Linked DNA regions of Arabidopsis thaliana. The protein of the gene in region 1 interacts with the protein of each later gene in a pairwise test. Each region holds a gene or a part of one and is shown on either strand. Other genes may lie near its edges.

The links. The genes of interacting proteins can lie anywhere in the genome.
Region 2: the proteins of AT5G40670 (region 1) and BBD1 interact in a protein complementation assay, tested with the Arabidopsis thaliana proteins (one large-scale study listed by BioGRID).

What each region holds. Positions count from the first base shown.
Region 1 is NC_003076.8:16,283,574-16,288,777, forward strand, and holds AT5G40670 (PQ-loop repeat family protein / transmembrane family protein), read left to right. Parts: upstream 1-2,137; 5' UTR 2,138-2,394; coding exon 2,395-2,513; intron 2,514-2,604; coding exon 2,605-2,737; intron 2,738-3,016; coding exon 3,017-3,106; intron 3,107-3,198; coding exon 3,199-3,323; intron 3,324-3,413; coding exon 3,414-3,456; intron 3,457-3,537; coding exon 3,538-3,655; intron 3,656-3,754; coding exon 3,755-3,804; intron 3,805-3,883; coding exon 3,884-4,018; 3' UTR 4,019-4,374; downstream 4,375-5,204. Other genes in the region: AT5G40660 (ATP12 protein-like protein), read right to left, coding at 77-184, 267-544, 616-790, 1,172-1,588; AT5G40680 (Galactose oxidase/kelch repeat superfamily protein), read left to right, coding at 5,181-5,204. UniProt on the Arabidopsis thaliana protein: Thought to transport cystine out of lysosomes.
Region 2 is NC_003070.9:28,280,695-28,286,273, forward strand, and holds BBD1 (bifunctional nuclease in basal defense response 1), read right to left. Parts: upstream 3,475-5,579; 5' UTR 3,188-3,474; intron 2,946-3,187; 5' UTR 2,938-2,945; coding exon 2,652-2,937; intron 2,552-2,651; coding exon 2,381-2,551; intron 2,271-2,380; coding exon 2,221-2,270; intron 2,122-2,220; coding exon 2,065-2,121; intron 1,971-2,064; coding exon 1,905-1,970; intron 1,810-1,904; coding exon 1,735-1,809; intron 1,650-1,734; coding exon 1,531-1,649; intron 1,439-1,530; coding exon 1,347-1,438; intron 1,157-1,346; coding exon 1,095-1,156; 3' UTR 1,090-1,094; exon of another isoform or gene 1,015-1,089; 3' UTR 501-1,014; downstream 1-500.

The DNA of each region.
Region 1 (5,204 bases):
CTTGGAAAGTAAATAACTAATCTACAAACAGATAAGCTTGTTTTTTAATGTGTTGAGGAAAATGAGAGACTAATGATCAGTTTTCACGGGATAGAGCAAGAAACACTGTAGCTGATGAGATCTGAACTTTGAGATCAGCAACATCAATGTCATGCCCGCCTTCGACTAGTCCCCATTTGTCCACCTGCATGAAACATGCGACAAAGATTAGTTTTTATAGAATGTCAAAGCAATAGATTTTGGCCAAGTGAGTGACAAAATGAAACCTGTAAATCTTCTTCAAGTCTAATCAATTTGATTGCATCATCGATCTGGAGTTTCCCACAGAAGATACCGAGGGCGATTACTATAGAGTGAGCTGATGCTTGGAGTGCATCAATGCTTGCGAGTTCACCATCATTCGTTTTCTTGAGCAGTTCTTCTACTGCTTTCACTAGCTTGTCGTCTTGTTTACCCCCGAAGATGCTAGAATACACTTTCGGTTTGACCCGAAACTCTGACTCTATCCACTCAAGTAGAGGATCAATACTCTCTACCTGAATATCTGCAAAAGACACAACTCAATAAGTGTAAAATCTAGGAGGTAGTTGAAATTGAAGAGAAAGTGTATTTTACCATGGACGTCACTAGTTAGATCATTATCTTCAGGTGCTCGGAAAAAGACGAGATCTTGATGTATCTTTCTCGATAAATGTTCTATGATCTTTGAACGCGTAAGAGGAACTCTTTCAAGTGCAGTACATGCTAGTCTCATAAGCGGCATTGTGAATGGTCTGATCCCTTCTGTTAGCTAACACAAGATCATCGTATTGATTGATACCGAGTCAGCTACCACACAAACATAAGTAGATGCAAAAGGATCACAAGAGAAAATGAGCTAGAGAACTGCAAGCCTAGTTCTTTAAATCTCACTTCAACTAATCGAATTATCAACCTATTGATCACATTAGAACTCAGATTGCAAAGTCCAGAAACCGATCAAACATTAGGGACACTAAAGAACGGTAAGCTCTCAGCTTTAAGTTGAATAAGCAATGAGCAGACCCAATTACAAGGATTCTAGCTAACTTAAATCAAACCCAGTACTGATCAGCTACAAAACAATAGCTAAATAGCTTAAAGCAATAAACTTTAGAAGTAAAACAGATCAAATTAGTGAAATGGAACAAACCTGATACTCCCACTCAGCAGCAATGGCCTTAGCAAGTGCCAAAGAACGAAGCTTGAGAGGTCTTTTCGAAGGGGTTTTAAGGGTTCTATAATCAAGCATCACAGTCCATCCATTTCCATCATCAGCTTCTCTAGTCGTCACTTTCTTGTAAAACCTCTTCCCTACGATCGAACCAGTCATGAAAGACGTCGGCATCGTCACTGAATCCGATTCGTTTTTCCGGCGAGAGTTCGGAGCTTTCACTAAGATGGGTTTCTCATTTTCCTTCTCGAATGTGAACGACGACGAAGATTCCGATGGCTGAGTATCGGAATCGGGTTGACGAGCGGCAGATGTCGTACATAAGGATCTAGCACGAATAGCAAGATTAGAGTTTCTCGCTGACTTAAAAGCTCTTCCGATTAACATCGCCGCCATTAATCCTCCCTCTCCGGTGACGAAAATGGGGACCTCCTTGCTTAGGGTTTTAGATCACATAGATCGTCAGATCCAAGCCTAAACGACGTCGCAATAACCCGGAGTGATAGTTAACCTCTACTACAATGAAGGTGTTTTGATAATTGTGATTATAATTACAATTTTATTCTATCTCATTGTAATCAGCTCTGTAATATAATATTTGTAAAGAATTTTTTGACAAATATCATTTGGGTTATATAGACAATCTTTTTTAAAAAAATTGGCTAAATTTAGTTTGTAAACTTTTCTATAATTTTCAAGAGTTACACTTACACCAATTCATTATGTGATATGTATTGTTTCATCCGTAAATTAAATAAACTAAAGTATTCTTACCCAAATAAGTAAATTTTATTACTCTAAATCCAAAAGTTTTGTTAATTAAGTGATCCGAGTCCCGAGAAAAAAATGATCCGAGTCAAAAATGCTGAAACTTAACTCAAAACGGCATCGTTTTAGCCGCCGGTTTCAAAACTTTAAAGAAAGAACGTAACCATAAAGAGCGCCAGATTCAGAGATAAGGCTCATTAAAATCACCTGCTTCACCCATCACGCTAAGATCGTGGAATCTTATATCACTAGACTCTCCCAGATCATGACACGTCATCATCTTCATCATGAGACCCATAATTTTTTGAAACTGTTTTATTTCACTCCCCAATAATATTTTCTGCTTTTAGCTCTTTTTAAGGCTCTTCAAAAATCTCCGTCAACGTCGAGAACAAAATTTGGAGAAATCGAACAGACGATCGAGATCGAGGAAAATGGCGTCGTGGAATTCGATTCCGCTGGAGATCTCGTACGAAATCGTTGGATGGATCGCGTTTGCTTCGTGGTCAATTAGCTTTTACCCACAGCTGATTTTGAATTTCCGTAGGAGAAGGTAATCTAATCTACCTTTTGTTCTTGAGATTTTGTTTCTATATCTGTAGTTGAAATTGAAATTGATGAAATCTTGGTTGTGTTTGGGAAAGTGTTGTTGGATTGAACTTCGACTTCGTGATGTTGAATTTGACAAAGCACTCGTCGTATATGATCTACAATGTCTGCCTCTACTTTAGTCCTGTTATTCAAAAGCAGTACTTTGACACTTATGGCGATAAAGAGGTTTGTTTCCTCTTTCTCTCTGTTATTCATTGAAGCATTAAGCATTTAATGAATTTGATTGTGGAATCTAGAAATGAGTTTTGTTTGGATTCTAAGATGGTTCTTGTTGGCTCTTATCTTCATGGTTACAAGTTTACCTTTACTTATTAGCTAATGAAGTCAAAATTGAAGATAAAAGTTTGTTCCTTTCTAAGTTTCAGCAAAAAAAAAACGCTTTAGATTGTTCGAGCTGGTTTAATTTTTTTTGAGTCGTTTTGTTATAATTGTTGCTTATTTCAGATGATACCTGTGGCTGCAAATGATGTTGCATTCTCGATCCATGCAGTTGTAATGACAGCTGTTACACTGTTCCAGATCTTTATCTATGAAGTGAGTAATCAAGTTTCTTAGGCTTGCCTTTGTCTCTTTATCCCATACAAGTGTTCTTTTTTTCCTGATGATTTCTAGTGATTTGCTCTCAGCGTGGACCTCAAAAAGTATCCAGACTTGCTATAGGTATTGTGGTTGTTGTGTGGGGATTTGCAGCTATCTGTTTCTTCATAGCATTACCTACACACTCTTGGCTATGGCTCATTTCAATCTTCAAGTAAGTTGTTGCGCAAAGCCTTCTGAACCAATTCTTTTAGTGGTAATCTAACAGTTTTGATGATAATGGTTTATTTGTTCATTGTTATAGTTCGATTCAGGTCTTCATGACATGCGTCAAGTACATCCCACAGGTCAGAAAAGATTCCAAACCTTAATTTTTTTCATTATTGATTGAATCAGCATTACTCAGATTTTATGTGTTTGCTTCACAGGCAAAGATGAACTTCACTAGGAAGAGCACAGTCGGGTGGAGCATCGGGAATATTCTTCTCGATTTTACTGGAGGACTTGCTAACTATCTGCAAATGGTTATACAATCTATTGACCAAAGTAACAATCTCTTCTCTATCACATCAATAGCTTTTGTTTTCTCTGATAATAACATTTTGAAAGAAAACTAAAACTATCTATTTCCTTTGGTTCTTCCAGATTCTTGGAAGAATTTCTATGGGAACATGGGAAAGACTCTTCTCTCACTTGTAAGAAAATTGATGGAGTTTTTTTTTTGGTTCAATTCTCTCTCTGTCTCTAATAAACGTCTCAAATTGTTTTTAACAGATATCAATATTTTTCGACATCCTCTTCATGTTTCAACACTATGTGTTATACCCAGAGAAGAAAGTCTCAAAATCTCCGGAAACTGGTGAGGAATCGAACGAACCACTCATTGATTCTTCTCATGAACATGTTTAAAGATCAGATTCTCAAGAGTCATTAGTTTCAGCGTTCCCACTGTATATGTTTATATCACAAAAAGGTACAAATGTGAGAACTCTTCAGATTGTCGTAATATCAGTCTAATGTATCAAATCAATTATCACAGAAACAGCAAATGTATAATACAATGTTCGATCTTGGGTTATATTTTAAGAAACAAGATGAAAGTTAATAGAGCACGATCCATTACCCATAGTAGTGCATCTACTAGTAGTCTTAGGCACAGCATAGAAGAGTTATATCTATGCAAGATCCAACCAAAGTCACTATGGTTCGAGGGGTACCATGAACCATCATCTTCTTGGCAGCGCATATCGATAGGGTCTTCTCTAAGGTTCCGTTTGCGTCCTCTGCTTTTTCTACCCACTTCTCTAATCTCCAGTTTTCTACTTGATGCATCGCGAGCTGTAGTGTACCCCATAGGAGTCCATTAACAGTGAACACCATCCTTTCTTGTCTTGTTTCCATACGTATCATGACCAGAAATTTCTATATGTATATCACTCTGTCATGACAAACTTTATTTCTCAAGTTCATTGATAATACATTTGGAACATGGAAATAACTTAAAACTAAGTAACTTACTTGAAATTGAAAAGATAGTCAAACTTTTTTTTTGTCAACTTCATAATTCTTCATTAAAAGTTTGCCAAAAAAAACAGTCAAAACTGTAAAACTCATTAGTTCTTTTATGGTAGAAAAGTTAAACAAAACAGTCAAAGTTTTTGAAACATTTATCAATAGTATTTTATGGAAGATGGTTAATATCATTTGACTACCATTGTAGATCATTAAAAGCAAGATAGCCTCTATATATATCTTAGTAACTTTTCTTCTAATGATTGTATTACTGGCTCTGCCTCATCTTCCTAAATAACTAAATCAAACCAGGATTCAAGTGGGAGGCCAATGCAGTCTTCACTTTCAACTTTCAAGGTATAGAAATGTAGCATATCTTTCTAATCAACCTAATAACTATGTGATACATTTTCTACATAATCACCAGTTATCTTCACCATCGGCACTTTGCTAATAGCGGATTATTGAAATATTTTAATACAAATGCATACACTTCCATATTATAATTAATGATGATTTATTCATATTAGTTTTTGTGGTTTGGAATCTACAGCCTAAGATGTCATTGATGCTACAAAAAAAT
Region 2 (5,579 bases), on another chromosome or scaffold:
TTTGTCTATACATATTTGAATTGCTTATGTACCATTTAAAATCACTATTCATCTACCAAACTTAGGCTTTTGTCGATATATGACTTGTTTATGTGCCAAATACATGATTTATTTCTATTTTTTAATCTCTTATTGATTTTAGATATATTTTCCTTTATTTATTTATTTTTGTCTTTTTAATAACATTGACTATTTTTTCCCCATATTGAGAGCCCAATTCTGACAAGTGGTTGTCAGTTTGTCACACTATTTGTCGTATGAAACGTATGTTGCGAGATATTTTATTTGAATGGATATGGATTTTTTTTCATTTTAATTTTTTCTTTCCATTTATTATCAATTGACAATTTTTATTTATAAATTAAATATAATACAAACCAGTTGAATATAATCTTAATGGTACTGTGAAAACCATGTCTGCGTAAGATCTCTTGAATAATAAAATTTACATGAATATATATATTTGTAAATTAGTAAGAATATTTATAGACATATTTACCAAAGAACATCATAATGAAAAATAATTATCCTGTTTTATTGTCACGATTTAGATTTAGACAATGCAGTACTAACAAACAAAACAAAGACACTGCAGATATGTCGGCAAAGCCAGTGATTTTGTCTTTTCTTCAAATTTCATGTTAACCATATGCCACATTGCTTCTATGATAAACAACAAACAGCTGCAAGTAATAACAAAAATATATAATTAAATTATTATAAAAAGAAAGAAGCACGAAAACAAATACGACGAACATAAGACTTAAAAGGAAACTTAAAAGTAATTAGAGTGAGCTTAATTTGCATAGATTAATAAGTAATATGTACACATCACGCTACATACATACATTATACATTTTTTTTTGTTTATTTTTTAGGGAAATGGGTAAAGTGCAGAAGCATTCTTCGATCTCCATCATACAGAGACGACACTTCAGGCTTCTTCCTCCACTTTGATTCCGACCAATGACTTTCTTCTTAGTTTATGTACACAGCCAATAATTGTTGATCGAGCTGCCCCAAGGAGAAACATAAGTATCGAGAAATGATAACGTCATTTAGTATGCATTTTCGTTTATATCTCCTTACCTCTCTCATGTGTATTTCCTCAAGTTACGTTTGGCCCGAAACTGACCAAGCTTGTCTCTCCACTCAGCTGCAAATCATATAACCAACAGTGTATTGATCATTAGAGATTAGACCAAGATTTACGAAAAGCTATAAAAGTTTCTGTTACATACATAAATCAGATTGGTCTCAAATGCTGGGCCACCAATCATAGCAGTAAGTTATGTAACCACTAATAAAGTGTACATTGTGGATATAGAGACTAGAGCAAAGCTTACCGGCTTCATCATATCGCTCTTCATCAACGGCTTGCATCATTTTGCTCAAAATATTGAACTCTTTCGTATCAAGACAAGCCTGACCATTTGGTCTGCACAAAGTCAAAAAAGTTTATGGCACTCAAATTCACAGTAAAAAGATGTGATCTGCAAAGATTGATCTTTAAGGTGTCTGAAAATTTACCGGTCTTGTTCAGTAAATAATAAACCATCTGAAGCTGGTGCCGGTGTTGATATCTTCCCTGACTCAATGACTCTCATTCCATCACTATATGCAAGGTACTTGTTCACTTGGATAGGTATCTACAAAACGATCAACACAATTTTCAACCGCCAAACACACATTTGTATTTACCTCAGCTGATTAATTAACATAGCTATGTAATACCTTGCATCTAACAGCTATATTGATTGCATCTGAAGGCCTAAGATCAAAGCTGACACACTCCGAGGCATTACCCACCTGCAATATCGTCCCAAAACCAGCCTTAATACATAGGAAATGATTTAAGTTTCCAAGGCTGAATGTAAGTTGTATATAAGAGACCAGTTGCAGACCTTTGAAAGGAATAACTGGGCAAAATATGCCTCGTGAACTCTTTTGGTGACTCTAACAAGTCTAACCTGTAGAATAGTTCAGAAAATTTTCATGAAACACAATCTTCACGAGACAAGGATATTTAAATAAAAGAGCAGAAACTGAAACCACGAAACATACTTCGTAACCCATCTTGTCCACCATTTCCTTCACCACTTGATACATGGTTGGTCTTGCCTGCAACAAGTAACCATAAAACATCATAAAATCTCTCTTCAATCACTCTTAACTAAATTCCAAACAGAGAGACAAAACAAACGAGAAATAAAAGCATACAATTTGGACATTGGTCATTGCTGCCATAAGTAACACACTAGGCATCTCCACTGCAATAACAAAACACAAATCAACATACTCAAAACCTTGTGAGAGTGGCATAAGAGAAACACTTTGAGATCACCAAAACTAAGCAACTCAAACACAGATTTTCACGTACAGACGATAATCGGAAGGAGAAGACCAGTTCCATCTTCCATTTTCAAGACAATAGCAGGGTGTGGAGCATAATCTGGTAAATGCCCTCCTTGAGGATTGTTATGGACACATCGTAGTTGCCTACCATCCCTCATCTTCACCATAAAACCATCTGCTCCACTTTTTACTTCAACTACAACATTCAAAAACACCCAAAAAGACACCAACTTTGAAAAACTAAAAGAACTAAATCAAACCAAACAAGGAAACTCTACTAATCCCCACTAACTTACCAGCTTCCACTACACTAGAGTTAACATATTCCTCATCATTTTCATTGAAATTTTCAGCAGTGCTTCCATTACCATCAGAGTGAGAGCTGAAAACACACTTGATACTCTTGTTGCACAATCTAAGAGTGATTGTTGTGGTAGTGCCCTGAGACTTGACACCTTTTGTCCGATTACCCCAAAATTGGCTTCTAGGTTTCAGACCAGTGTAGTTGACTAGTGAAGCACATGCACCTACTTGTCTTGGTCGAATTGCAGGACAAACAACTGGTGCTTGAACCGATCTCATCTTCCTTCCTTCAATCAAACAGAGTATTTTAGTGTCAAACATAACGAAATCCAAAATCTCATAAAGTAAACGAAACATGGCAAAATTCTAGATCACTGATCCATACAACGAAACAGTAGTTTCCATATATATTCTCAAAAAGTCAAAACAATCAATGATCATCGAATTATACCATAGATATTCACAAATATTTTGATGATGATGATGATCAATAATTAGAAAGATTGTAAACAGTTTTTGATTCACTTACGATTTCGTGAGTAATAATTGAAACCGGATTAGATCGTGAATGGTATAAACAGTGGCACGTAGATCGATCAAGAAGAAGATCGAAGAGCTCTGAAACAAGCCAGAGAGAGGAAAGGATCAATGGAAGAAGATAGAGATAGAGAGAGATTCTTCACTTGAGAGATCAAAGGAGTGAAAGAATCTCCGTTACTTTATCGACGCAGTTTTTGTTTTAATTGTCGATTTTACCCTTTCACCAAATTTTGTTTCATTTTGCCTAATTTTTTAGTCATGAAAATAAAATTTTGCCAACTTTTTATGTAAACCATAATCTTCCTAATTTTGTTTTTTTTTGTATATAAAAAACAATATTGAAAGCTAATATGATATTGTAGTACTAACCTCAACTTATTTGTATAAAATAATTGAAAAAAATATACTAACGAAAGACATCAACATATATATATATATATATATAAATAGTTCCAAATAATTTACTAAAAGAACACATGATTTTGTTTTCATTTTAGGACACAGTCAATTACTTGTAATGTGAGCAAAGATCAACCAACACAATATTAATAGATAATAATAAAATCTATTAATATAAAATTGCATGGAATAATTCACTTCTTCTTTTGGTCGACAAAATAATTCAAAAGCCTCTTTTAAAATTGATTGGTGGAAAAGTTTTGATTTCGTCGTTTCTTGATTCATTCATTTTCATTTAAAATAAGAAATTAGGAAATTGTGTGAAATTTACGACTTAAAAACAAGAGAGGAAAATGTGTGCAATGGAAGGGTGAAAAAGGGATTTCAATAATATAGCCGGATGACGTGAGAACGAGAAATTGTACCAGCTAGACACGTCATCAACTAACGGCAGACGAAAAATAAATCGCCTAGATGGATGCCACGTGTACTTGCGCATCTGTATCACACAGATGGATTTGGATAAGGTAGTAGTAGAATTTATTAGAAACATGGGCTCTCTTTTCTATCTTACGTATTTTTTCTCCAGCTTCTAGATGCACCTTTTTGGTTATAAATTAACAAAAATAAAATAGTTGATCTTAAATAAAGAGTTGTATTAATGAGCAATTTATTTTATAAGCTTAAATACATAAGTTAATTTAATATGAATTTAAGATTTATTTTTCTATCAGGTGATAATATAAAAGAATAGCAATATATTAAGGTCTTTGAGTATTGGCCAATAAGCGGAAAATACAAGTCATAATCGAGGAAAGTGAAATAATCAAGTTGAAACTATATTGTAGCTAAGAAGTCAATGTCAATAATGGGCCCATTGATATGCAAATACCTTATCGGTCCAAAAATTGATAGGTAAATGGCTTCACAAACGTTCCTTCGTTATCCATTTTCCCAGCCTCAAAAATATCTCCCTCAATATTTGGATTTTTTACTCATTTGTATTTTTCCTCCAATTTGTGACATTGCTGGTAACTTGAAAGAATGAAAGTACTCGGATCTCTAGAAAATGATTGCACAATACATATTAAAAATTCTGTTGAATTCCGGCCCAAAGTTATGGCCCAATAAGTACCCATATTTTCTAACGAGCCTTGCTTCTAGCGAGGTAGCGATTATATTTTAAATTGTTGGGCTTCTACTAAGCTTTGCCGACATCTCTTTGTTTTCTTTAACATTTAATTTTTTTTTTTAATGGTTCTAGATAGATCCAGAGGAAGCTTCAAGCCCTTTTGTTTGAAGAAAAGCTAAATTGAAACTTTAATTATTGGTCATATATTAAAATAGAAAATATATTCAGATGCTCGTATATTGTATATGTGATAAGGTGTTACTGATATTTTGCGACTTTTAAAGATTCTCGATGTCGGCTGCTCGAAGCCTCCTTCACTCACTCTCACGACTTTTGCAGCCTCTCCCGACCAACCCTACCACTCTTTCATTCTTTTTTCCTTTTCTTTTTATTGTCACTTTGCGTATTTTTTTGTTTCAATTTTAACCTTTTTCTGTTTCTTATTAATTCACATAGATCATATTATGTTTTTATTTTGATTGTCATGTTGGACAAATCACACACTTCATATCGTTTATTTTCTCCAATGTCCAAATATAGATTATGTGGTTCATTACTCACTCGAAATGACACTAGTATCTCAGTGAGATGCGCAACTATGACGGAATGATAACTTAGTTATTTTTTTGTTTAACGAGATTTTATTTTTAATCCGAAATCCATAAATTGGACTACATAATATCAAAACACAACCCATGTAAAGTAAAACAAATGTGGTCCTTAAATCATATTTATCGCTATTCACACAGCTAGCAAACCTAGTTAATTAATAGTATAGGCAGGCTTAACTAACGAATTTGATAAATCCATACACTAGACAACAGTCTGAGCGACCATAAAATAGTATATC